Linked DNA regions of Drosophila melanogaster. The protein of the gene in region 1 interacts with the protein of each later gene in a biochemical or structural test. Each region holds a gene or a part of one and is shown on either strand. Other genes may lie near its edges. The genes, in order: CG1024 and CG30020.

Region 1 (10,003 bases):
CATATATTACAAATTCTGCTAATACACAGCCGAGGGGAGGTGTGCAAATATGTCACAAAATGTTTATTAAAGTTACGATTTGACAAAGAAAACGTCACTGGCATTAGCACATCGGTAGACAATCGGAGCAAAGGCTCCAATGAGAACGTGACTTTGTTTTTATTGGATGGTTAAACAATAAATGGGAGGCCGACATTCGTTGTTCCAATGAGAAATTCAATCTGGGGAGGCGCGTGCGTTTAATAGAATTACGCCCTACGGATTGCCCAACAGTCTTTGCATTCAGGTATGAGTTGGTGATCCTACCATGTAACATTCTATTTCCATTTCATGGCATGTTATAAAGAAACGACTACGGTGTAGAAGGAGTTTGTTTTTAAGATGATTTCAACTAGAATGCTATTCCTTTGACAAACAAGTAGTTCAACAAATTATTAAAATGTTGGTTACTATCGCATATGTTTCTACACAATTTTTTAGCAACTTGGCGATCTTTTGCCAATTAATAGTATGGTCATTTCGCAATTTTCAAAACTTGTATATAATTTTCCTTGCAAAAGCGCTTGCAAAAAAGCTAGAGTAGCTATCTGGATATGTAGAGATACATATGTATTGACTGGATTGTTTTAAACAATCCTGACATACGGATTGAATGTTTAGCGACGAGGAATGCAATTCGCGTTAATTCGCTTTGTTTGGAAGGCCGATATCAATTTACACATTACACAGCGTACGCAGCACCCACCCACCAACACACAAACACGCGCACACACACACACCTTGAACTTTACAAGGCACGAGTGTGGTTTCAAGGTTTTCCTTTTTGGGGGAGGGCATACGCTCACGCAAACACGCATACATACATACATAGGCACTAGGCAGGTGTTTCCTGAATGGTGTACAACGGTGGGTTACAGGTGAAAAGCGGCCTCGATTGGAGGCAGCAGCCCACAAGTTATTGCACTTAAATTTCGTATATTCGCTTTTGTTGTTTTTTTTAGGCGCCTCTGTGTGCGTGCCTGCTACTGTGCTTGTGTGCGTTCAATTAGCACAACAACAAAGCAGCTGAGCGATTTCCTTTTGCTTTCCCGACGCCCATTCGCGTAAATCCACTGGTCACTCACTTGATTAGGGCTTCTCGTGCTCTTAGTTGACCGTTTGGAGCGACTTCTGGCCAGTTCCTGTATCCAATCCTATTTTTTCAGCACTCGCTCGCCTCCTCACTCGTCGCCATCGCACTGGTATTGCGTTGTACTTTGTTTTGCTCCCTTTTGGGGCTCGGACTCCTCGGGTTCCTTTAGTTGGTGGTCGTGGTTCAGCGGGGACAGCGCAGTGGCTGCGAAAAGAGCATGACAGTCGCGATAAGAACGCTTTGGGTTTGGTTCACTTTTCTAATTATCGGATATTAGAATTTACATCCCACCCGAACACAGACACATATACAGGGCTAGAGCTGGAACTAAATCGATGTATAGCTGCTGCTGGCTTCCTGACGGCGATGTTTTCGTACATCGATTACTCCCATATTTCGATAGCTATCGACTAAAATTTTAAAAATATTAAAATCCAGTATTCTCAGCAACTGTTTCAGATCATTGTACAGAATTTAGAATTCTCAACTTCAGAACCTGAAACCATATAGAAATATAATACTAAGATATAGCATTAATAACTAGTTTTTAAGATTCTAGAAGTACAAATACAATGAATTGGTTAAAATCAGTTTCTGTGCAAAATACTACTTGCCTTTTCGAATTAACCAAGAAAATTAACCGATTTTCAGTGGTGCGTTTATATTTTGTGTTGAACAATAATGCATTTGAGTTATGAAACATTAAAATCACATGACTGCGGGCTACTTGATCCAGAGATACATTTTCCCCTGGATGGTGTGCTTGACGGGATTGATCTTCTTCAGGATTTTCGTCATGGTCTCGACCAAACGGTCGCTGGAGACAGGCGTCTTCTTGTTCTTGAACTTGGTGAGCAACTCGGTGGCGGTCAGGGGCTTTCGCTTAAGATACCGACGCACCGCCTCCTCGGTGATGCCGTAGTCCCTAAACAAAATACATGAAATTAGAATTAGGAATTCCAGTATATCACGGCTTTACTCACTCTACTTTGCCGCCAGAGAAGGAAGTGGGCAGCGATGTGCTAATCTCGTTCTTAGGCCTCTTTGCTGGCGTGCTGGTGGGACTGTTGCTTGTGTCCGAAGCGGTGAGATCGCTGGGTAAGCTGTTCATCTTGCGCTTGCTGGCATCCGTCGAGAGCGTTGGAGTGGCCGAGCGAGATTTATTGGCATTGCTGCTGCTGGCGATGACCTTGCTGCTCGCAGCGCTCTCTTTCTCCTTTTCCTTTTCCTTGTCTTTGTCCTTGACGACGACCTTCTTCTTGGGCGGTCCGTTGCTAAGGTCGTCCTCGGAGTCTGTGCTGTCAGAGCTGAAGTCTGTGGACGAGTCACCGCTGCCATTCGACTTGCCCTTCTTGTCGTCCTTTGTGGGTTTCTTCTTCTTTTTGTCCTTGGATACCTCGTCCTTGCCCTTATCCTTCTTTTTTTTCTCGCCGTCGGCATCCTCCTTGTCCGACTCATCAGACTTCTTCTCATCATCCTCCTCTTCATCGGAGGTAAGCAGCTTGCGGAGCGCATCTTCCTCGGCCACGCCTTTCATGTCCTTGTCCACCTTTGCCTCTGGATCTGGTTCGCTAGAATAGGGTATAAGAAATTAGTAGATGTGGTCCAAATTGTATTGCCATTATCAGAATCGTTTGGGGCACATACTCTTCACTGGAGCTGGTGTCGTAGTCCATTTCTCTGCCCTCCTCGTCACCATCGTCCGACTCCTCGAAGGCCTCGTCATCAACATCCCTCTTTTTCTTTTTCTTGTCTGCGCCCTTCTTGCCCTTTCCCTTGGCCTTGCCATCGTCGCTGTCTTCCTGCTCCTTCTTCTTTTTATCCTCCTCGTCCTCCGAATCCGACTCATCCTCGGAATCAATCCATTCATCCATGTCAGTGATCTTGAGCTCCTTGGATTTTTTGGTGGCTGCCTTAATTAGCTTAGCCTCCTCCGGATCCTGCTCCTCTTCCTCATCGCCGCGCAGACGCTTTCGCAACATAAGGGAGAAGTAGTTCATCACCTTTTTGCGCCGACCAAATTCCTGTTCGGCCTCCTCCGCCGACAGCGATTTGTAGCGCTGAATAGGCTGGAAGTTGTACCACTCGGTCAAGGGGTATGCCTCAATGGCGCCGTCTGGTGCATGGGTGAACACATAGAAAGCTGCATTCTCGCCTACGCCGCCCTCGCGGATGCCTTTGAACTTCTTTCCAGTCTTGCCACCCACTTTAAGGATCCATGGCTGTGCCTCTGGACGGTACTTTCTCGCTATAATGCCAAACTTCTTGCGGCGCGCCTCCTCGCGCTGATCCCGGTTGTACTCCGATCCAGCACCAAACTTGGGCTGATCCTCCTCCATGCCCCGGAACTCCTTCATGTTGTTTTCCCGCTCCAGTTTCACATTTCTCCACTGCGCGAAATCCACATTGAGCGTGGCGTTGAACCGCATCACATGGTGCTTCTTGGGCATCTTGGGCACGCGGATCTTGAACTCCTGCACGTTGGCGGATGACGAGGCGGATCCTGAGGCGACAGAGGCTGCGGCGGCGGCAGCTGCGGACGTGGAGCTCCCGCTGGCAGCGCTCGGCTGCATGAAATCAAGCGAAGACCGCAAATAAGTGTTGGCGCCGGAAGCGGCAGGGTAAAGACTTACCGTCGACTTTGACGCGCTCGACATGGCTTAATGTTTGCTAATCATATGTTGCTTCTATCTGGATATTTTATACTTTTCCCCAAACTCTTACAATTCGCGGCGCGGGCAGAAAAGTTGGATTTTCTAGCGATGTCCGATAACAGAAGTGCAGTTATTCTTTGGAAGCAAGTGTATCGTATCGTTTGGGCAGAAAAATAATATTTATTCCAAGAGATTTTGATAAACAAATTGGAAAAGTAGATATTATAAGATTGCATATTCAAGCCCTACAAGGTATTTAAAAACTTCAAAGTTTTGTAATGTTCTATCAAAATAAAGTGACAGCCGATATCCGTTCACAGTCACGGTTATCGATTACCTCTTTTTAGATAAACGATTGTCGCCATAGCAAATAACGATAAATTCACAAAGCGCTGTCTAGTTTGTTTGGATTTCATTTGCAGTTTGTCGCTTAAATGTTAGGGAAAATGTCGCGGAACGTGACGCTCTCGGATGAACAAAGTCGGCTTAATGCGCGTCTGGAGGCGCACATGGTTTACATATGTCCGGAATGCGGCAAGGCGTTCCGCACTCAGGCGGAGTGGCGACAGCATCTGAACACGGCAAGTTGCGGGTTTTGTGCAAATCAAGTTCTGCTTTAATAATGGTTTGAAATGTGCCCACAGAAACACGACTATCTAAAGAAGACGTACTCAGATTTCAACTTCATCCAGATCGACGAGCGATTCCATGAGTGCCAGCTGTGCTTCAAATGGGTGGAGAATGCCCACAAGACAATCGCCCTCCTGCAGTACCACTACTTTATGCATCTGGAGCACAGTGAAACCTACCGCTGCGTGCACTGCCGCATGGCGTACACGAGGCGCCGGGCTCTGAACGTCCACCTACTGGACACGCACATGCGGGAGATCGAGAAGTACGAGAACAAGCTGCGCCAGATGAAGCGGCAGCAGGCGAAACCCACTACAGCGGCCGCACCAGCTGGAAATGCAGAGAAGCCGATGGCTGTGAAGCCGCGTGGGCGTCCCAAAGGTTCCACGAACAGAAAGCAAAATGATCTGCTGCAAAAGGCGCTGATGGACATTGATCTGAACACAGAAATGGAAAAGTCCCCAGTGACAGCACTAGCGGCTCCTGTAAACGAACCTAAGCCCATTTCAAATGTCAGCGAGCTGAATCTAGATCGGTGTTTGAATGCCTACGAGGACATCGTGCGCAAGGAGGAGAAAGAGGTGGTGCCGAAGTATGACGACGAGTTGGATGCGCTCTGCAAGGAGTTTTTTGATGATGGCCCCTCCGCCGGCAAAGGAGAAGCTAATGAGGAGCAGCAGCAAGACGATGCGCACCTGCAGCAAGGAAATCAGGAGGTGGTCATCATCGAGATCGATGCACTCGGCAAGGAGGAAGTGGCCCAGCTGAAGAAGGAAATGAAGTCGGACCCAATAAGTCAACCGACTAAGCGTCGACGCATCTCTACGACGCCCAGCCGCGACTCAGACACGGAAATGTCCACCAACGGCCTCACGAAGCTCATATCGTACTTGTGTCCGAAGTGCGGCAAGGAAATCGCCTCGATGGACGGTTGGCGGGCACACGTATTCAAGAAGCACGACTTCGAGCACATAATCGAGAACAGTTTTAAGATCCTGGAGTCCGGGCGCAAGGCCATGTGCCTGCAGTGCCGTGAGGTGCAACCAACGACCGTGCGCTCACAACTGCAGAAGCACTGCTTCAAGCATCTGCCCTACCGGTCGTACCTCAAGTGCACACTCTGCGATCGCACCAAGACCAGCACCTCAAAGATCCTCAATCACATTCGCTACAACCACCAGGAGGAGCTGCAGCGTAAAAACAAGACGCAGCTGCTTATTAAGCCGGAGCCCATGTGGGCCAGTCCCAACAAGTCCGGTCAAGCGGCCATGGCGGATGACGCCGGATCCGAGGACGATCAGGGCGAGCAAGCTGTGTGCGAGCACTGTGACAGAGTCTTTAGGAGCAAATGGCGCTACGAACGACACATTGCCTCTTGCAGGAGATCTGGAGCTGGCAAGTCAGTCGAAGGGACCGTTGAAGCCTTGTTGAACCATCTGCGAGAAGGGCACATGCGAATGAACGCCATCTGGAAGACGATGCAACGTGAAAAGCCTTAGGTATAGTCTAGTTAAAGTTAAGTCGGTCCATCGTTTTGCAAATATCATCAAGTGTAAAATATACGTAAGTTTTCAAATCCTTGTGCAAATATTGTGCTAGGAAAAGATCATAATTAACACATACGACTTACATGCCTATGAAACATGTATCAATCTGCATTTAAGTTGTTATATGTTAACTATATAGCGTATACAACTAAATAATATATAGATATTTTAAATCCATTTCTCATAAATATGTTTTTCAAGAAGTACATTTATATTTTTTTTTTTTTTGCTGTGAATTATAGGACAGGATCGATAAAGGCATTTAAATTCATGGGCACGACCTTTGACAGTGTCTCAAGGAGCAGTAGCGATTCTGGTTGCCGCCACATCCGAGGTACTTCATCTTGAGGCACTTCCTGGTTCTCTGGTTATAGTACCACATTTCGTCCATGGCAGTTCTCCGGCAATGCCTTCCCCCAAATCCTTCGTTCTTGCCGCCTTCGCAACTCAGACGACCTGTGTGAAAGTGTAGATCAGCTATAAAAGTACACTTACTAAATGCTGTTATTAAACATACCCCTAGGACGACCATCGCAGCGATTCTGGCCACATGCGAGAGATACGTAGAGCACAACGCAAGCTAGAACCAAAAGTAACTTCATTTTCAACGGATTGCTCTTTGGAGGGTCGACTTGATATGACTGATCTGTAAAACGATGGACTTATATAGGGGCGGCTGCCAACATTTTTCCCAGTTCCCTAGAACGAGTAAAAAACATCTTGACAATCGACTCTATTGTTAAATGTTTTGAGGCTATCAGATAATAGTATAAAAAAGGGGCTTAAATTAAACTTTTTAAAGGCATAAGATGTGGGATGAACCATTCAAAAACGTTGCTGGAATGAAAATGTATTTTCCACTTTTAACTTAAAAAAAAAAGCTGCAAGATCGATCTTTCGCTCAATCCTATTGATTTCGTATCAGGGCAAAAACACTTGTGCTGAATGTAAATATGATTTAACCAGAATTATATTTACCCAATTAATTAACATTCTTTTCGTTAGTCACTTTGTATTACTAATACGAGGAATACTTTTCTGACTAATTCATTTTATAAATCAGATTAAGGATTAAATTTAACATGACGATTATTTATTATGTTTAATTTAAAACATTTCACTTTAAAGCAATTGTTATTCAGTTAGGTAAGCTTCAAGGCATAGCTATCCATTGCGGAGCCCAAAAGCCACTTGGCTTACGACTGCGCATGTGGCTACCTATCGAGCGTCTCATTATTGCTCTGCGTCTGGAGAAAGCCCTTTCCATGGTTCTAATAGTTGCGTCGCCTTCTGCGCCTTCCTGTTGCACGCGGTCATCATCCACCTCGTGATTGCTGGATATGACCACGATCTTCCGGCGACCATGGAACATCTCAGCCCGCTTTATCAGCGCCAGGAAGCGGGCGAACTTCTTCTCCAGCGCAGCCCTGTCCAGAGGCTTTGGCATGGGTTCCAGTAGCCCTTCGGCATGAGCTTCTTCCCCTCCTGGCGATTCGGAAGCGGGTGTCCCTCCAGCTGTTGGTGCAGGAGTGGAGCCTTCTCCCTCCACCGGGGTGACTCCTGGAGTGGCTCCTGGCGCTGCTCCGTCGACTGCTGGAGTGGCTGCAGCTTCTCCAGGTGCAGCTGCTCCTCCTTCGGCGGCAGGCGCTGCTGCTGCTCCATCGGCTGCTGGTGCTGGTGCCCCACCTTCAGCTGGCGGCGTTCCATCAGCGTTTTCGCCGTTGAGCATGACGAAGTCCCGTTTTCCAAGAGTTCTAGTTTTAATTTCGGGACTGGACGCGTTTCCTGCTTTCGGCGTAACCTTCTCGTAGACCTCGGACTCGGCGCAGAGATGTGCATATTTCGGGTTCGCTCCGGTCTTGCAGGACTCCGCCGCCTTTTTCCCGGGCTCGTAGACGGGCGAGCCCACAACCGGGGCGTGGCCATAGTTGCACGCGAAAAACGTCTGAATCCAGCCATGCCGGGACTGCTGAACGATGGCACAGCCCACGGATTCAGCGTTCTCCAGCACGATCTGTAAAAAGTTGTACTTCGGCGACCTGATAGATGGGAACACAAGTTGAAGTTGATTAATTCCGTTTTTTCATATAGTAATAAATCATGAAACCCACATTTATTTTATGTATTGAATGTTCTTAGATGTAGCCTGGAAATTTACAAGCGAATCTTTATATAAAATATTTAATTTTCGGACCAACAAATAATTAAAACTTTCTAAAGATAAGTTCATGGGGTTGAGTTCTTCTATTAAAGCTTATAAAAAACAATCGTTATGGATATGGATTATGGAATAAGCTAAGATAAATAAACTAAGGTAAGTCCCCTCTTAATTAATTGCAATCAATATCATCTGCAAGAGTCATCCGGCAGAATGCAATCCCTCGCCAGAGAAGAGAGCCCAATGGAATCCACATGCAATCGTTTTATTCTTGAGAAGATCGCGAAGCGTACGGCCGCATATAACATAAGAAGAATTTCATAACGGAGTGTTGTTAAAAGAAACTATATCATATCAAATATTAATATCAATAAAAAAAATGTGAGTGAAATCAACATCAAGACTAAATTACTATAATTTTCCAGCGGGTGGTCATGAAAATAAATGGATTCCTCTCCTTTAAAAGTTCATGTAAAATTGTCAAAAGGCATTTGTCGCACACTCGCGTCCATTATTTTGCAAGCCCTAATATTATTTTAGAAACAAAAAAAAATATTTATATTATCAACATTTATGTTGTCAAAATATAATCAATTGGTGTTTATAGTAATTTTGAAAAATTTAATTTTTAATTTAAGAAGAAAAGTGACAGAATTATAACATTCAGATACTTTGTCTCCTAATAACAACAGGTACAATTTTTCGGTCTTTTTATAAATTTAGATAAGATTTAGAAAGGATTACAAAATATTAAAAAATAAATAATAATCATTTCAGGTTGAAATATTTACCAAATCCCGTAAGGACGCCCGAGTAAACAACCCTATATATTCCTTAAGTGGTACTCACTGAGATTCCTGCTCGACATACTTCATGATGTTCACCATCGAAGTTCTGGATTTTTCCCGCAACCACACCCCTATGATATCCCTAAGGATATCCTCCAACTCTGGCAATTTTCCTTTAATGCCTCGATACCCAACCGTCTGGCCAGCGTTTTGCGTGAACTTCGTGTTCCGGCACTCGTCGTGCCTCAGGACACAATCCCTCACATTGAATTCAGCTAGGTAGGCCAGTTCCGGGTTCCACTTCAAGGTGCCCATCCGACTGGCAGGACTCAGTCCGTTGAACCCTCCTTTGGCCACGCTATCCCTCAACTCATTAAATCGCCTTAATAGGAATCTTTCCACCTTTGGGCTTATCACTATGAGCTCAGCGTCCAGAGAGCACTTGTCGTGCAGTTCCTGAAGATATTATTGGTAACAAGTTAGGATAGTAACGCATTTTGGAAACAAAAATAACCCAGAACTTTTAGTATGACATTTTGTAACGAAGGTATACCTCTCAAAAGCCAATCAATTCGAAATTAATATTCGTCACTAATCAATTTTATCAACAAATTTTATGACATTGAAAATTTGAAAAAGTCCTAAATTAATTTATATTTGGCTTTCTTTCAACCATTTATACCTTATATAGTGTATGCGAACAAAAAATGTTGTTTTGTTAATTTGAATTAGTTGGTTGTTATCACGTGGCACACATTTTAGTTTAGTAACTTACGATTGATGCGTTGCAAGCCACATGTTTGAGTTCTTTGTGGCACAAGGAGGGATCGCAGTAGTCCGGTAGTTCCGTTGAGGAGCTGTTTCCTGGCTCCTCTTGACCTTGCGAACCTCCAGGAGATGGGTGACCAGCTTCGGTGACCGCTGGACTTGGTGTCGTAGTGGCTGCCGTTTGAATGGTCAAACAACTGGCAATCAGAAAAACGACAAGGGCCAACATTTTTCATCCAGAGACCGTGGCGTATTAACGTTAGTTTTTCAAAACGTAGATCAAACGGTTCGGACTGTGAAATCACAATTTGCAAAGATCAAATGAT
Region 2 (12,336 bases), on another chromosome or scaffold:
CAGAAAACCTAGAACCTCGCTCACTTTGGAAGAGAAAATGGAGGTAATCCAGTCCCAGGAGCGAAACAAGCTATCGGTTCGGGATCTGGCCAAGAGGTAAGATCAATGCCTGATACATACATATGAATGGGTAAAAATAACAAGTTTCCGAAGGTTTAACATTGGAAAGACACAAGCAGCAGACATTTTGAAGCACAAACAGTCGATTAAAGAGGGTCTGTTGAGTGGAGAACTTAAGTTGAATCAGATGCGGAGGAATCCCCTCTCTCAGCGGGGCGCCCAAATCGATGAGATGTGCTTTGATTGGTTCTCCCGTGTCCGTACCGAGAATATACCCATATCGGGGGAAATGGTGCGGAAGAAGGCCAAGCAGTTAGCTGTGGAGCTGGGCCACTCCAATTTCTCTGCCTCCTCCGGATGGCTGGAGAAATGGCGAAAGCGACACAACGTCCGATACAATGACACCGGTGACAGCCTGGATCTGCAGGAGTTCGAGGCGATTCTGGTGAAAAGCGAACCCATCTCGAATAAGGACGATTGTGATGAGCCATACCCCGTGACTCTGATAGAGCCTATCTATTCCACCGAGGAGGCCATGATGCAGCTGGCCCGGCTGAAGGAGTTCGCAAAGGATGACTATGCTTCCTACCAGCAGTTGATCAGTCTGGAAAATCAATGGAGCTGGAAATGGAACATCTTTAAGAAGGAGCTTCCCTGACCCAAGCATGCAATTTAGGTGCAATATAAATACATATTTATCTCGAATCTAGTAGTAAAAGTTATTTAATGTACGTTTCTTTTATAAGTAACATCGTTGAAGATAACTTATCCCTTCTACGCGTTGAATTTAAACCTAAAACTATTGGGTTATTCTATTCATGACGATGCTCGTAAATATACGAAATACATGACCGTTTGCAAAAAAAAAAATAATTATACATATATATAATGGAGAATTTTAAACATTAGATGTGAAGCGTTTCTCTTTGGCCAATACAGAGCCAGCTGGTGGAGATTGCCTCAATCATGCTTGGGAATCGAATGGATTAACTACTGACACCTTGAGACCCGTTGCGGATTGTTATGTTTAAGGCGATACCTTAAGTTGCCATTTGGGCATTGCTACTTTTGGATCCTCATAATACATTGAAAATTTCACCGAAGTCTATTTGTCAATAAGTGATCGGTCGTCTGTATTTCAACTAATTTTGTATAAGAGATTGTGTTTAATGTCCTAGTCTAGAACTTAACAAGAAAACTTCAAGACATTTGATGTGCTAAAATGATGGAGAGGAACAGTACTTAGACTATATCAAACTTTGTACATTGTGCGATTACTTTGCTTGATTCGTAAAAGCATAAGTTCACAACTACTTGGAATTATCGTCAGCTCCTTAGGGCTGCCCATTTTCTTCGCTTGCACCGCTCACATCCTTACGGCCATCCAGGAGTCCCACGGGCGTCGCGACTTTAAGATCGTTAGGTCTGGCTTGGTTCGTAGCCAGGGATGAGAGGTTTCCCAACTCTTCGGTGGTGAAGCGCAAGTCATGGATTATGAGTGCATGGGTTACGAGTCTGCATAAGAGAAATTATTGTAGAAGGCTTACAAACGATTTGAAAAGGGGAATCTCTCACCTGCCACGTCGCAAATAGGAGCGATCGCACTTGGGACACTTGTAGGTTATCTCACCTTTGTGCACGCTCATATGATTTTTCAGATGCACATTGGACTTTTCCTCCTTATTGCAAACGGGACATATATACCGCGTGCTCAGATGAGAGGCCTTCTGATGGCGTATCAAATGGTGTTTGAAGGCAAAAGTCTTCCGGCAGCCATCCATAAAGCACCGAAGCGTCTTATCCTTGCTGTGCTTGGCCTTCGTGTGCCGCTCGAGCTCTGCGATAGTTACAAAGGACTTGGGGCACAGCTTGCACTGTGATTTTCTATTACTGTGTCGCTTCATGTGGAACTTGAGCAACGTAAGCGTGCGGTAGGATGTATTGCAGATGGCACACTTGTGCTGATAGCCCCATCGCGAACGTTCCGTATTGGAGTGCAGCTCCATTTCATGCTTGACCAACTTGCCCAGCTCGTCAAATGTTTGGTTACAGAGTTTGCAAATGTGAATGGAAGAACGATGCAGACGGCTGTTGGAGCGTAAACCCTTCGCTGGCGATGTTTCCAGGGCAGTGGTGGACAGCAGTTTATAGCTTTCATTAATTGGGCAGCTGGATGATGCATTGTCGCTGAGGGCTTTGGATACGTCATGGATATTGGGCGACGATTGCTGGGCTTCGTCTCTCATTATGTCATAATCAAAATCAAATGGTGTGGGCGTGGGAAAGAGAGTGGTGGACGATGAAGCTGTGGTTGCTACGGGTGATTCTAACGAAGTAGCTGTCGCTGCTGCTGCCGCTGATATTGCTGCTGCTATTGCTGTTGTAGTCACCGCTGTGGCTGCGTCCAATGTTACCGGATCTAGTTCTTCCTCTGGCACCGCCGGTTCTGCTTTAACTCCTGTTCCATCATCTGTGCCGCCTTCTTCTGGTGAGTACAACAACAATCGACGATCATTGTTCGTCGCCGAACAACAGCGTTTTTAGATTATCATTTGTATTATGCGTTGGCGTGTTTTGGGCATAGTTGAAATGGGAATTTGATTTGATTAGTGCAAGGCTATTGAGGCTCTTACCATTGCCATCGCCATTGCCTAAAGCTTCCGTCATCTTTTCAGCCCCAACATCCGTCTGCATCATCTCATTGTGTTGGCCATCCACTGTGACCGAGTTTACGGGCTCAGAAATCGTTGATGAGGATGTGGCCATCGTAGTCGTGATGGCTTCCCCGCAATGCGGCGTTTGCATCTCTATAATTGTATCCACCAAATGACTGCGCTGCAGGTGGCGACTAAGAGTGGTCTTGGCCGCAAACGATCGAATGCAGCGCGGACATTCAAATGGTAATTCTGTTGTTGGACGAAAGATGAGTTCATATGTCATAGCCACAACGATGAAAATCGTTTCAAACCTTATCAAAATAACAAAACTACTTACTGCGTATGATAAACACTTCGTTTGCATGCTCGGACACTGGAATGAAAATATGATTTATCTTATTAGAATTATTTCATAAAAACAATGGTAGAATTAAAAATTATATCTTTAATCTATCAATGCTTAATAATTGATCATTGATTTACTCACCTCCGTCATTGATTCCATGGTGGGCATTCAGATGCTTGCGCATCTCCGAATCCGATTCGCATTCAAACGGACACTTTGCGCACATGAGCATTGGATCTGAAGGTAGATAGAAACTGAAGATGGTGTGATCTGTATACTGTATTTTATGTAGCTTACTCTTTATCCTGCCAGGATACAGTTTTTCGATGTTGGTGCGGGCTACGGAAACCTTATCGCCCTTCGCCTGGACCATGTCCCTCGTGGGCATTCGCTTGTGCACAGTTTTATAGTGCTTGATCAGCAATCGCTTCATGTTGTAGAGGTTAGTGCACAGTTCGCAGCGATAGGGAGCCAGACCTGAAGTCCAACCAGATATATGCATGATTATTTAGTAACTAGAGCTGTGTGACCGACCCAGCTTACTTACCCCGATGAACAAACATGTGGTTCTCGAATTTATACTGACTGGTAAACTTCTTATTGCAGTAAATGCAGTAGGGCTTCTGCAGATGCTTCGATTGCTCGTCATCAAAGTCGTCCACATCATCATCGTCGCTGGTCAGCAACAGATTTTGATCAGTGGCAGCATCATTGTTGTCATTCTCGTCTTCATTGTCGGCCTCGTCTTCTTCGTCGGCCACAGTATCATCCTCCTCCTCCTCGAAGTCCTCGAACAAATTCTCGGCATCAAAGTCCAGACTGATATTGTTATTATCAATCACAATGTCATCACCATCCACAACGGGCATGCCATCCGCGGGAATTGTGCATATGGCAGCCACATCGGTGTTGTCAATAAAGTCCTGCATGTCGCCAAACACCGAAACGCTAGATGAATTGGCTGGTGCCTGCTGTACGGCTTCGTTCACGGGCAGGTTGCCCTCTGAGATTTCGGGAAAGATTCCAAATGCATGGTTGCTGGCCGTACCGGTGGTTTCCTCCACCGTTGTCACCGGTGCCGGGTTCGTCACTAACAGGGAGTTGGAGGTTGCCGCATAGAAGAGCGGCGTCGCATCCACCACTACGTTGATGTCGCCCGATTCGGTGATGGTCGTCGATGTGGTGGCCATCGGCTCCGTTTGCTGCATTGGATCAGGCATTGGTTGATGTACCACCGGTTGCGGCAATGGCGCTTGCGTTTCCAAAACACCAGGCGGATCTGGAAGACATTGCATTACAAACATGCCAACATGAAACATATAAAACGGAAAGCCAGGGAATTCAAATGAGTATACAAATTTAAACTGTTGGACTTAAATAAAATTTGGTTAGAGTGCAGGCTGGAGAAACTCAAAGATAAACACGGTAATTATAAACAATTAATTATCAAAAACGAGTTAAAGTGCTCCTTTGAAGTCCTTACCGAAAGTCCACAATCCCTCCACTTGTATTCGATTTGCTTTTATTTACATGGAATAAAGGCCTCAACGTTTTTGTAGTTTCATCAGCGCGATAGCTAAAGAGAGTTTCCCCAATCCTACCCGATAGTTAATGCCAAAAAACTAATTGCCATTATGATCATTATGAGCATCAATTTACTAGAAAGAGGACATAGCCTGGATATACACGGTGTTATGCTAAATTTGTATGTACAACTAATTTTACAATTTAAAATTTCATTGCTGTGATCTACATATTTTCGAGTGTAAACGTTTAATTTAACTGTTGTGTAGAATTTCGGTTCATGGTTTGTCACAAAATTACCGCAAAAAATATGATAAAAAAAAACGTATTGCACGAAGTAAGTTGAGAGCTCAACAAAAAGTATGGTAAAATACCTAATGAATAATAAGAAAATAATAAATAAATAAATATCAACATTAACTCATTCAACCAACGAAAAGATTAATACGAATTTTTGTTTGCGAATCATTTCATAACTGTCCAAAAAACCGGCGAAAGTCGATACCAGTTTAAATGCCCTGGTTAAAACGATCTCATGACTCACATTTAATGCCCAACGGGATGTCGGTGTGATTTAATATCTTGGCCGGAGTCTGCTGCTTGGCGGCAACGCCTCTCGTTGTCGTTGGCTCGCCCGTCCAACTGGGACGCAGCTGCACCTCCGTGGGCTGGACCGTGTGCCGTTCCTTGTAGTGTGTTCGCAACTGGCTAACGGTGGACGTCTCGAACAGGCACATATCGCACGAGTAGACACGAGACTCTATACCTTGCGCCTGTTCCTTGCCGGTCTTGCCATTTTCATCAACCCGATGGTGGACCATCTTGTAATGCTGTATTAGATCGGCGCTGCGCAACGAGTAAAAGTCGCATTGGTCGCAGAAGAATTTGGGAAGATCTGTTGTAAAAGAGATTCGATTAGTCAGAATGAACGATAGCGGGCTGGATTTAATGAAGGTGGGGTAAACTAACTGCTGTGAGTCAACTGATGAGATTTTAGACGCGCTACAGTGGAGAATGTTTTCGGACAGAATTTGCACTTGTGCTTGTGAATGGATGTTCCGATAACGGCCGGTTTTGGCTTGACTGTAAGCGTACAAAAAATAGTAGAATCGTATTGTAAGTCACTGGGACGGATCTTACTTCTTATCTGTGGCATCATTTCCTCCACGATCAATTCGTTGACATCGATATCCATCGGATCATTATGGCTGGACAGGAGATTTTGTAGGCTTACATTGACGTTGCTGGAACTATTCGGTTTGCTATCGTCTATATACTCGATGACCACGCCTGAAAAAGATCAGTATGAGTTGTATTTTGCAATCATGCACCCATGGATAGTTCAACTCACCGCTTCCGTTAACCTGCTGCAGCGAACCGTCGGGAAGGACAAGGTACTCGGTGCCGATGCTAACATTGGGCGTATCCATCGGCGGCAGGGTGGAGGTGAGGCTGTCCACTGACGGTACGGGTTCATCCATGCTGACGGCCAGCTGGTGATCAATGTCTCGCAGTTGGTCGTTATCAATATGCGGATGCGGCTGTACGTAATCTTCCGGCCTAAGTACGGTGGGTATCAGCAACTCCATATCCTCAAGCGTGCACACTGCCTTAACCTCTTCTTCTTTAGGAGCTGGAAGATGCTTTGATTTTACGTACTCCTCTGCCTGGCTAAGGGGCATGTTGTGCATGGTCACATAGTGCTCGAACAAAGTTCGTTGCTTCAACGACGTGAAGCTGCACAACTTGCAGTTGTATGAAAGACCCTCTGGAAAAGTATTTACACTTTTAGTTCAATAAATTACGCTTGTGGCGAAAGTCAAACTGTACCTGCATGCTGGCGTATGTGCTGCTTGAGCTCCAGGCGATTGTAGAGCACTACTCCGCAGACCTGACACTCGTGCCGCATGGTCTTTAGGGGCTGTACCGGCTGAAAAGGGAGAACCAATAGTGATAGTGAAACAATAGCTGTGAAAGCCACTATTTAGGGCAAACATACCTCTGCACACGCTGGCTTTTCCTGCTCCTGAGCCAAAGTGCCATTCAGTCTCTTTGAAACCTTGGGACATAGTTTCCGGCACAGGATCTCGTGGGCACGCAGCGCATTCTGAAGGAAGTAGTAGGCCACCTGCAGGCTCTTGCTGCACTCGAGGCATATGTGTTGCGGCAGCTCCGGCGCATTATCGGCGCTCACGCAGAACAGCAGGCAACGAAGGAGCGGTATCTTCTCAGTGGCGTCCGCCGGGTCCAGACTGCGCGCCACCGACACCGAGTCCAGTTTGACGTACTCCACGTTCGTCTTCAAGCAGCAGCGACATGACAACTTGTAGTCCACTTCGGCGCCCGAAATTGGGTCCGAGTAAGGGCTCTTCCTTTTGTTCAGCGCCATCGTTCACGAGCTGCTCATCGGGTGGCACCCGTATCGGCTGCGGTCCGTTCGAAGCGTTTAGCTGGTAAAGCGCCAGAATTTATCACGTCTTAGAGAATTTAATTTGATTGTTTTTCTCCACTCGCGTCGCGTCGAAATAAATTACAAAGGCAGGGTTGTTCTGCATTGGTGTTTTGCTCGGCAGGGCTGGCTAACAATTACCGATGACCAGGACTGCGCATTCACTCGATATACAGCGTCTATCGGTAAGCAGGCACTTTCGCGCCAACGAATTTTCAGATTAACGCAGGGATACGAACAAAAATTTTAATTTTTGCAATCATTTGTAGGAATTTTAGTTAACTTTAATTTATTTCAACTACTCGCTTCTTAAGCTTTTAAAGTTTGCCAACTGATCAGGGAAATTAAAGCTATAAATTAAAGTTATATATGTTTATTGTTTTTTTTTTATCGGGAGTAAAAAGGCTTAAAATGTTTACAATGATTTTATTTCCATTTAATTTCCTTGTAAGCCCTTTTCGATTATTTAAAGAATAAACATGTTAGTAAATTTCAATCTTGTAGAGGAGCCCCAAGAAAGTTATTTAAAAACAAACTAAATAATATATCAATCCAGCTGGATCTAGTTAATTTATTTTCGTATTTTCATATTTAGCTCAGTAAAGAATATTAACTTGTGTACTCCATGGGCACGCACTCCTCGGCGGCCACCTCGTGCGAGTGAGAGTCGTCCTCCATCAGATGCTGCAGGCTTTCATTGGGATAACTAAGAGAACACGATTATTAGATTGGTGCTGCAACGTGGGAATTGCACAACTTATTACCACTTAGAGGGGCTTTCATCGCTGAGCATCGTTGTGGGCACGGTGGCCGAAGTGCATTCCGGACTCAATAGCTCCAACGGCGTCGGTCGTCGCTCCTGCAGCTGGCGGGCAATCTCCGCTTGGCTGAGGCCGGGCGACACATCCTTCGGAGCAGTCTGTAGTTGCGGTGGCTGCTGCGAAGGTGACACCGTGGCGGTAAGTTGTTTTTTCGCAGCAATTGCTGGGATTCCATGGTTCGCGGGCAACATTCCGGTTAGGATTTTTCGTCTTCGACCTCGTGGGGCGCCCACTGTGGGCATGTGCGGAGGCACACCTGGAATTCCTGGTGCCCCCTTGTCTTTGTGCTTGCGCCGAATGGCGTCCTTGGATGTTTGCGATCCGCCGGCAACGCCGGACGTAGAAGCTGGCTCCGAATCGGAGCTGTCGGTGGCATCCGAGTCGCTAGAGTCCTTGGCCGGCTTCTCGTACACCAGCAGACGGTCCAGCAGGAAGGTACGATCCCGGGAAACTTTCAGCAGACGCCGCTGGTTGGTGTGCAATAGATCCTGGAAGTACTCGTTCTCCTGTAAACACAAAAAGCTGTGACTTGCCATTGGCCAAGTTCAACTTTAGATATTTACATAGATGAGGAACTTCAGCTTCTTCTTGAGGTTCTTGTAGCGCTCCTTGAAGTCAGTCTCGCCTGCGCCCAGGCCCGCGGATACGGAGGATGAGCTAGCGGGCGCTGCTCCGCGGGAAATTGGCGGGACGCGATCTCTGGCGGGCTGTGCGGGCTCGTCGTCGCTCGGCGGCTCGTCCTTTATGGCGCCATCCTCCTGGTTGGCCAGGGATCTGCAGTACCAACCGTCTAGCATTGTATTTTAATGGTATTCGCGTTTTGTTAATTTTTTCTTTTATGTACATGCCTCATAGAGATGGGAGCATTGCGATAACTGCCAGTTTTTCGCACATCATCAACCCAAGCATTGTTATCGGACGACTATTTACCGTTCTAGGTTATCATTAATTTAAAAATTGAGTTTCACCATTTAAGAAATTTATATAAATTTAAAACAATGATCTCTTGTGAAAGAAAACCTTTGATTTGAAAAGAGCATAACAATAATCTGTAAGCTAATATGCACAACAGTTGTGTCTTAAAAATAGGAATATTTCCAAAAAGTCTGACATGTAAATATAATCTTCCTATTATATTGTTTGTCTGAAGAATGATGATAGGTTTTAATTGCTGGAATCTGTTTATTTATCTATCTATCTATCTATTTATTATATATTTATTTATTGACATGTTTATTGGATTTATGAAAGCAAGTTTGATAAGTTTTATGTATCTACACTAAAACGTTCCTGATTTACAGCTTGGCATATTGACTCTCATGTACCACCATTGCCGACGTGATGTCTCCCAAATTTTGGCAACCGATCAGCGCCATGGTGGTCTCAAAGTCCTTTCTCAGCACACTCAGCATCTCCTCCACGCCTTTCTGTCCATTGTAGGCCAATCCCCAGACAGCCGGACGACCCACAAAGACCGTCTTGGCTCCCAAAGCCAAAGCCTTGAAGATATCATTGCCCTGCATAATGCCTCCGTCCAGCATAACCACCAGATTATCTCCCACGGCCTTTACGATCTCCGGCAGGGCTTCGATCGAGGCCGGAACCGTATCGATCTGACGAGCACCGTGGTTGGAAACAATGAGTCCGGCGCATCCAAACTCCTGGGCCAACACAGCATCTTCGGCAGTCAGCACTCCCTTGACCACAATGGGCAGATGAGTGATGCCCTTCAACCAGGCAATATCCTTCCAGGTTATGGTTGGATCAAACTGGCTGGAGACGTACTCATTAATGCCTGAGGCGCCCATAGCGGCATTACCCACTCCAGTAGCCTTAACGCCCTGGAAATTGGCCAATGACAGGTGCGACGGCAAGCTGAAGTTGTTGCGCACATCGGCTCTACGGTGTCCAAAGATTGGAGCATCGATGGTCAGGACGAGCGCTTTGAAGTTCGCCTTCTCGGCACGACGTACCAGCTTTTCCGTTATGGTACTGTATTTAGGAAGTTATGTGTTTAATAAAGAAGTATTTGCTTACATACATAAAGATAATCAACTCACCGATCCTTGTAGATGTACAGTTGGAACCATTTGATGGTATCCGGGGCACCGGCTGCCAAATCCTCCAGCGAAGTGGTGGACAGTGTGCTGAGTATAAAGATGGAGCCGGCTTTTCCGGCCGCCCTGGCATTGCCTACCTCGCCGTCCGGATGGGCCATCTTCTGCATAGCCGTCGGAGCAATGCCCAGAGGCCACTGCATCTGCTCGCCGAAGATCTTGGTACTAATGTCCAGGCGGGAGACATCTCTCAAACAACGAGGTCGCAAGCGTAGCCGGCGGAAGGCCTCGCGATTCAGTCCCAAGGTGAACTGCTCACCGGCTCCGCTACGGTAGTAGTCCAGGGCATTCTTCTCCAGTTGCCCAACGGCCTTCTTTTCAAAGTCCTCTACGCAAACCAAAGCCATGGCTGTTATATAACAGGAGAATGGAAATATACAATGTTTGACAACACCTCTTGACGCACCTCCCAGACTCGCACTGAACCCACTAAGATTAGGTGCCAGCATCAACGCTTTTGTCCGGCGAAATCCATAAACCGGGGAATCGCGATAAGCACACACTGTAGATAAGGGATGCCTCACCAGCCCGAGATTATGAAGTACAGATCAGCGCAGGGATCATTTAAATCAAAAGACGTAATTTTCCTACTCGACATGGGGGGAAGCTATTGTCCGAAATGATAAGAAGCCACTTCGCAAAGGTTAATTGGAATCACCTACCTCCTGCTGTCTTCCACAGTAATTCGAGTCGCACTTCCACACGCTGGTTCCTATTTCATACGAGAGCTCCACCCACCTTAAGTGGTTCAAACGAGTGGAAGCTCGCTGGGAATTGTGAACTATCAACGGGTTTATTGAAAAACAACGAAAAATGTCTGTAAAAAACTAACTCTTAGAACTAGTTAACCATCTGCGCATACTCTAGACACTATATGAAGCCTTTAGGTTGTTGAAATACTCCAGATCCTTGGCGCTGATCGAGGGCACAAACTTGTTGAAAGACTTCGTGAAATCTTCCTCCTGCACAATTACGTTCTCCGGCACCAGTTCCTTCTCTGATATTGTTCCACTCAAGTGTCCGTCTATGGTGCGCCTCACAGCGGAGAGCCATGCATTCGAGCAGATGGAGTACAGATCTGCGCCGCTCATTTCGCTCTTCAAACGCTCGGCAATCTGTTCCATGTCCACACCGGCGTCCAAAGCGAATCGCTGGGTTTGGGCACGCAAAACGGCTGCCTTGTCTTCGGCAGTTGAACAAGGTCCCACGTAGAAAAGCTTGTCAAAGCGACCAGGACGCAAAAGAGCGGGGTCAATAAGATCCGGGCGATTGGTGGCGGCCAGAATGAATATGGGCTTGCTAGTGTCGCCATCGCTCATTCCATCCATTTCTGCCAATAGCTGCGACACCACCCTATCCATTACACCGCCAGAGTCCCCAGCCACACCTCGATTGGGAGCCAGGGAATCCAGTTCGTCCAAGAAGAGTACACAAGGAGCCGCAGAACGAGCCCTGGAGAAGACCTCGCGAACATTCTGCTCGCTCTGGCCGACATACATGTTTAGTAGCTCTGGACCTTGAACGGAAAGAAAACTCAGGTTGCACTCAGTGGCGACAGCCTTGGCCACCAGGGTTTTGCCTGTTCCTGGGGGACCGTAGAGCAGGATTCCCGATCTTCTTAGATTCTTGCCCATGAGGTGAACATGCTTAAGCGGCAGACCAATGCTGCTCTGGATCTCATCTTTTAGCTTGGCTAGACCACCAATGTCCGACCAATAAACCTTCGGCACCTTGGGCGCACCCAAACTGTCCGCGAAAGAGCTCTGCATGTCAGTGAGGTTCTTGGCGAAGTGAGACATATCCAGGGTGGTCCTACCCAACCTATTGCGAATCTTCATGCGAACCGCGTTGTCGTACAGCAACTGAAGGTCGCCGAGCAGAAAGCCCTGTGACTTTGCAGCCACATCCTGAAGGACATTGAGGGTTTCCCTCCAGCTGGGAGAAATGCGTGGCATGAATTGCGACTGATTTTCCCGCGAGAACAAGGGTAATTGCTCAATAGCCTTCTGATTGTAGATAATATCGTTGAAAGTCTCGCGCACGTGCATCCAGCGAAGAATCTCGAATCGCTCCTCCTTGCTGGGCATGTCAATGTTTATGATCTCCAAGAAAAGTCCTTGGATCATGGGTTTAAGGTGTCTGTCACTGGTCAAAGCCACCACTACAATCGGATGCTTGCGGTCCCTGTTGAAGAGTTCCTGGACCTGCACGTGGAAGGCGGAAAGCAGACGCAGATCCTCGTTACCCTCGTTGTCTATGCCAAAAATCTGAAAATATGAATTGTAATAACCTCTGCACATTTACTCAAAGCCCACGTACCTCGAAGTTATGGAAGCAAATCATAAGCGGTTCACAAACTTGG

What was found.
Region 2: the proteins of CG1024 (region 1) and CG30020 form a complex in vitro, tested with the Drosophila melanogaster proteins (one study listed by BioGRID).

The regions. Positions count from the first base shown.
Region 1 is NT_033777.3:6,374,382-6,384,384, reverse strand, and holds CG1024 (uncharacterized protein), read left to right. Parts: upstream 1-4,177; 5' UTR 4,178-4,220; coding exon 4,221-4,367; intron 4,368-4,430; coding exon 4,431-5,915; 3' UTR 5,916-5,979; exon of another isoform or gene 5,980-5,989; intron 5,990-6,151; exon of another isoform or gene 6,152-6,205; 3' UTR 6,206-6,231; coding exon of another isoform or gene 6,232-6,419; 3' UTR 6,420-6,480; coding exon of another isoform or gene 6,481-6,565; 3' UTR 6,566-7,036; downstream 7,037-10,003. Other genes in the region: TfIIFalpha (transcription factor IIFalpha), read right to left, coding at 1,856-2,057, 2,116-2,703, 2,780-3,699, 3,766-3,789; CG42537 (uncharacterized protein), read right to left, coding at 6,232-6,419, 6,481-6,565; CG42564 (uncharacterized protein), read right to left, coding at 7,117-8,002, 8,971-9,365, 9,685-9,906.
Region 2 is NT_033778.4:10,881,617-10,893,952, reverse strand, and holds CG30020 (uncharacterized protein), read right to left. Parts: upstream 7,144-12,336; 5' UTR 6,977-7,143; coding exon 6,587-6,976; intron 6,518-6,586; coding exon 6,418-6,517; intron 6,356-6,417; coding exon 5,939-6,355; intron 5,878-5,938; coding exon 5,728-5,877; intron 5,671-5,727; coding exon 5,557-5,670; intron 5,483-5,556; coding exon 5,132-5,482; intron 4,343-5,131; coding exon 3,611-4,342; intron 3,541-3,610; coding exon 3,361-3,540; intron 3,301-3,360; coding exon 3,205-3,300; intron 3,091-3,204; coding exon 3,055-3,090; intron 2,967-3,054; coding exon 2,694-2,966; intron 2,546-2,693; coding exon 1,636-2,545; intron 1,576-1,635; coding exon 1,395-1,575; 3' UTR 762-1,394; downstream 1-761. Other genes in the region: cag, read left to right, coding at 1-96, 154-718; CG18004 (uncharacterized protein), read right to left, coding at 7,646-7,742, 7,801-8,363, 8,421-8,654; Hao (hydroxyacid oxidase), read right to left, coding at 9,153-9,849, 9,918-10,321; Pex6 (peroxin 6), read right to left, coding at 10,838-12,241, 12,294-12,336.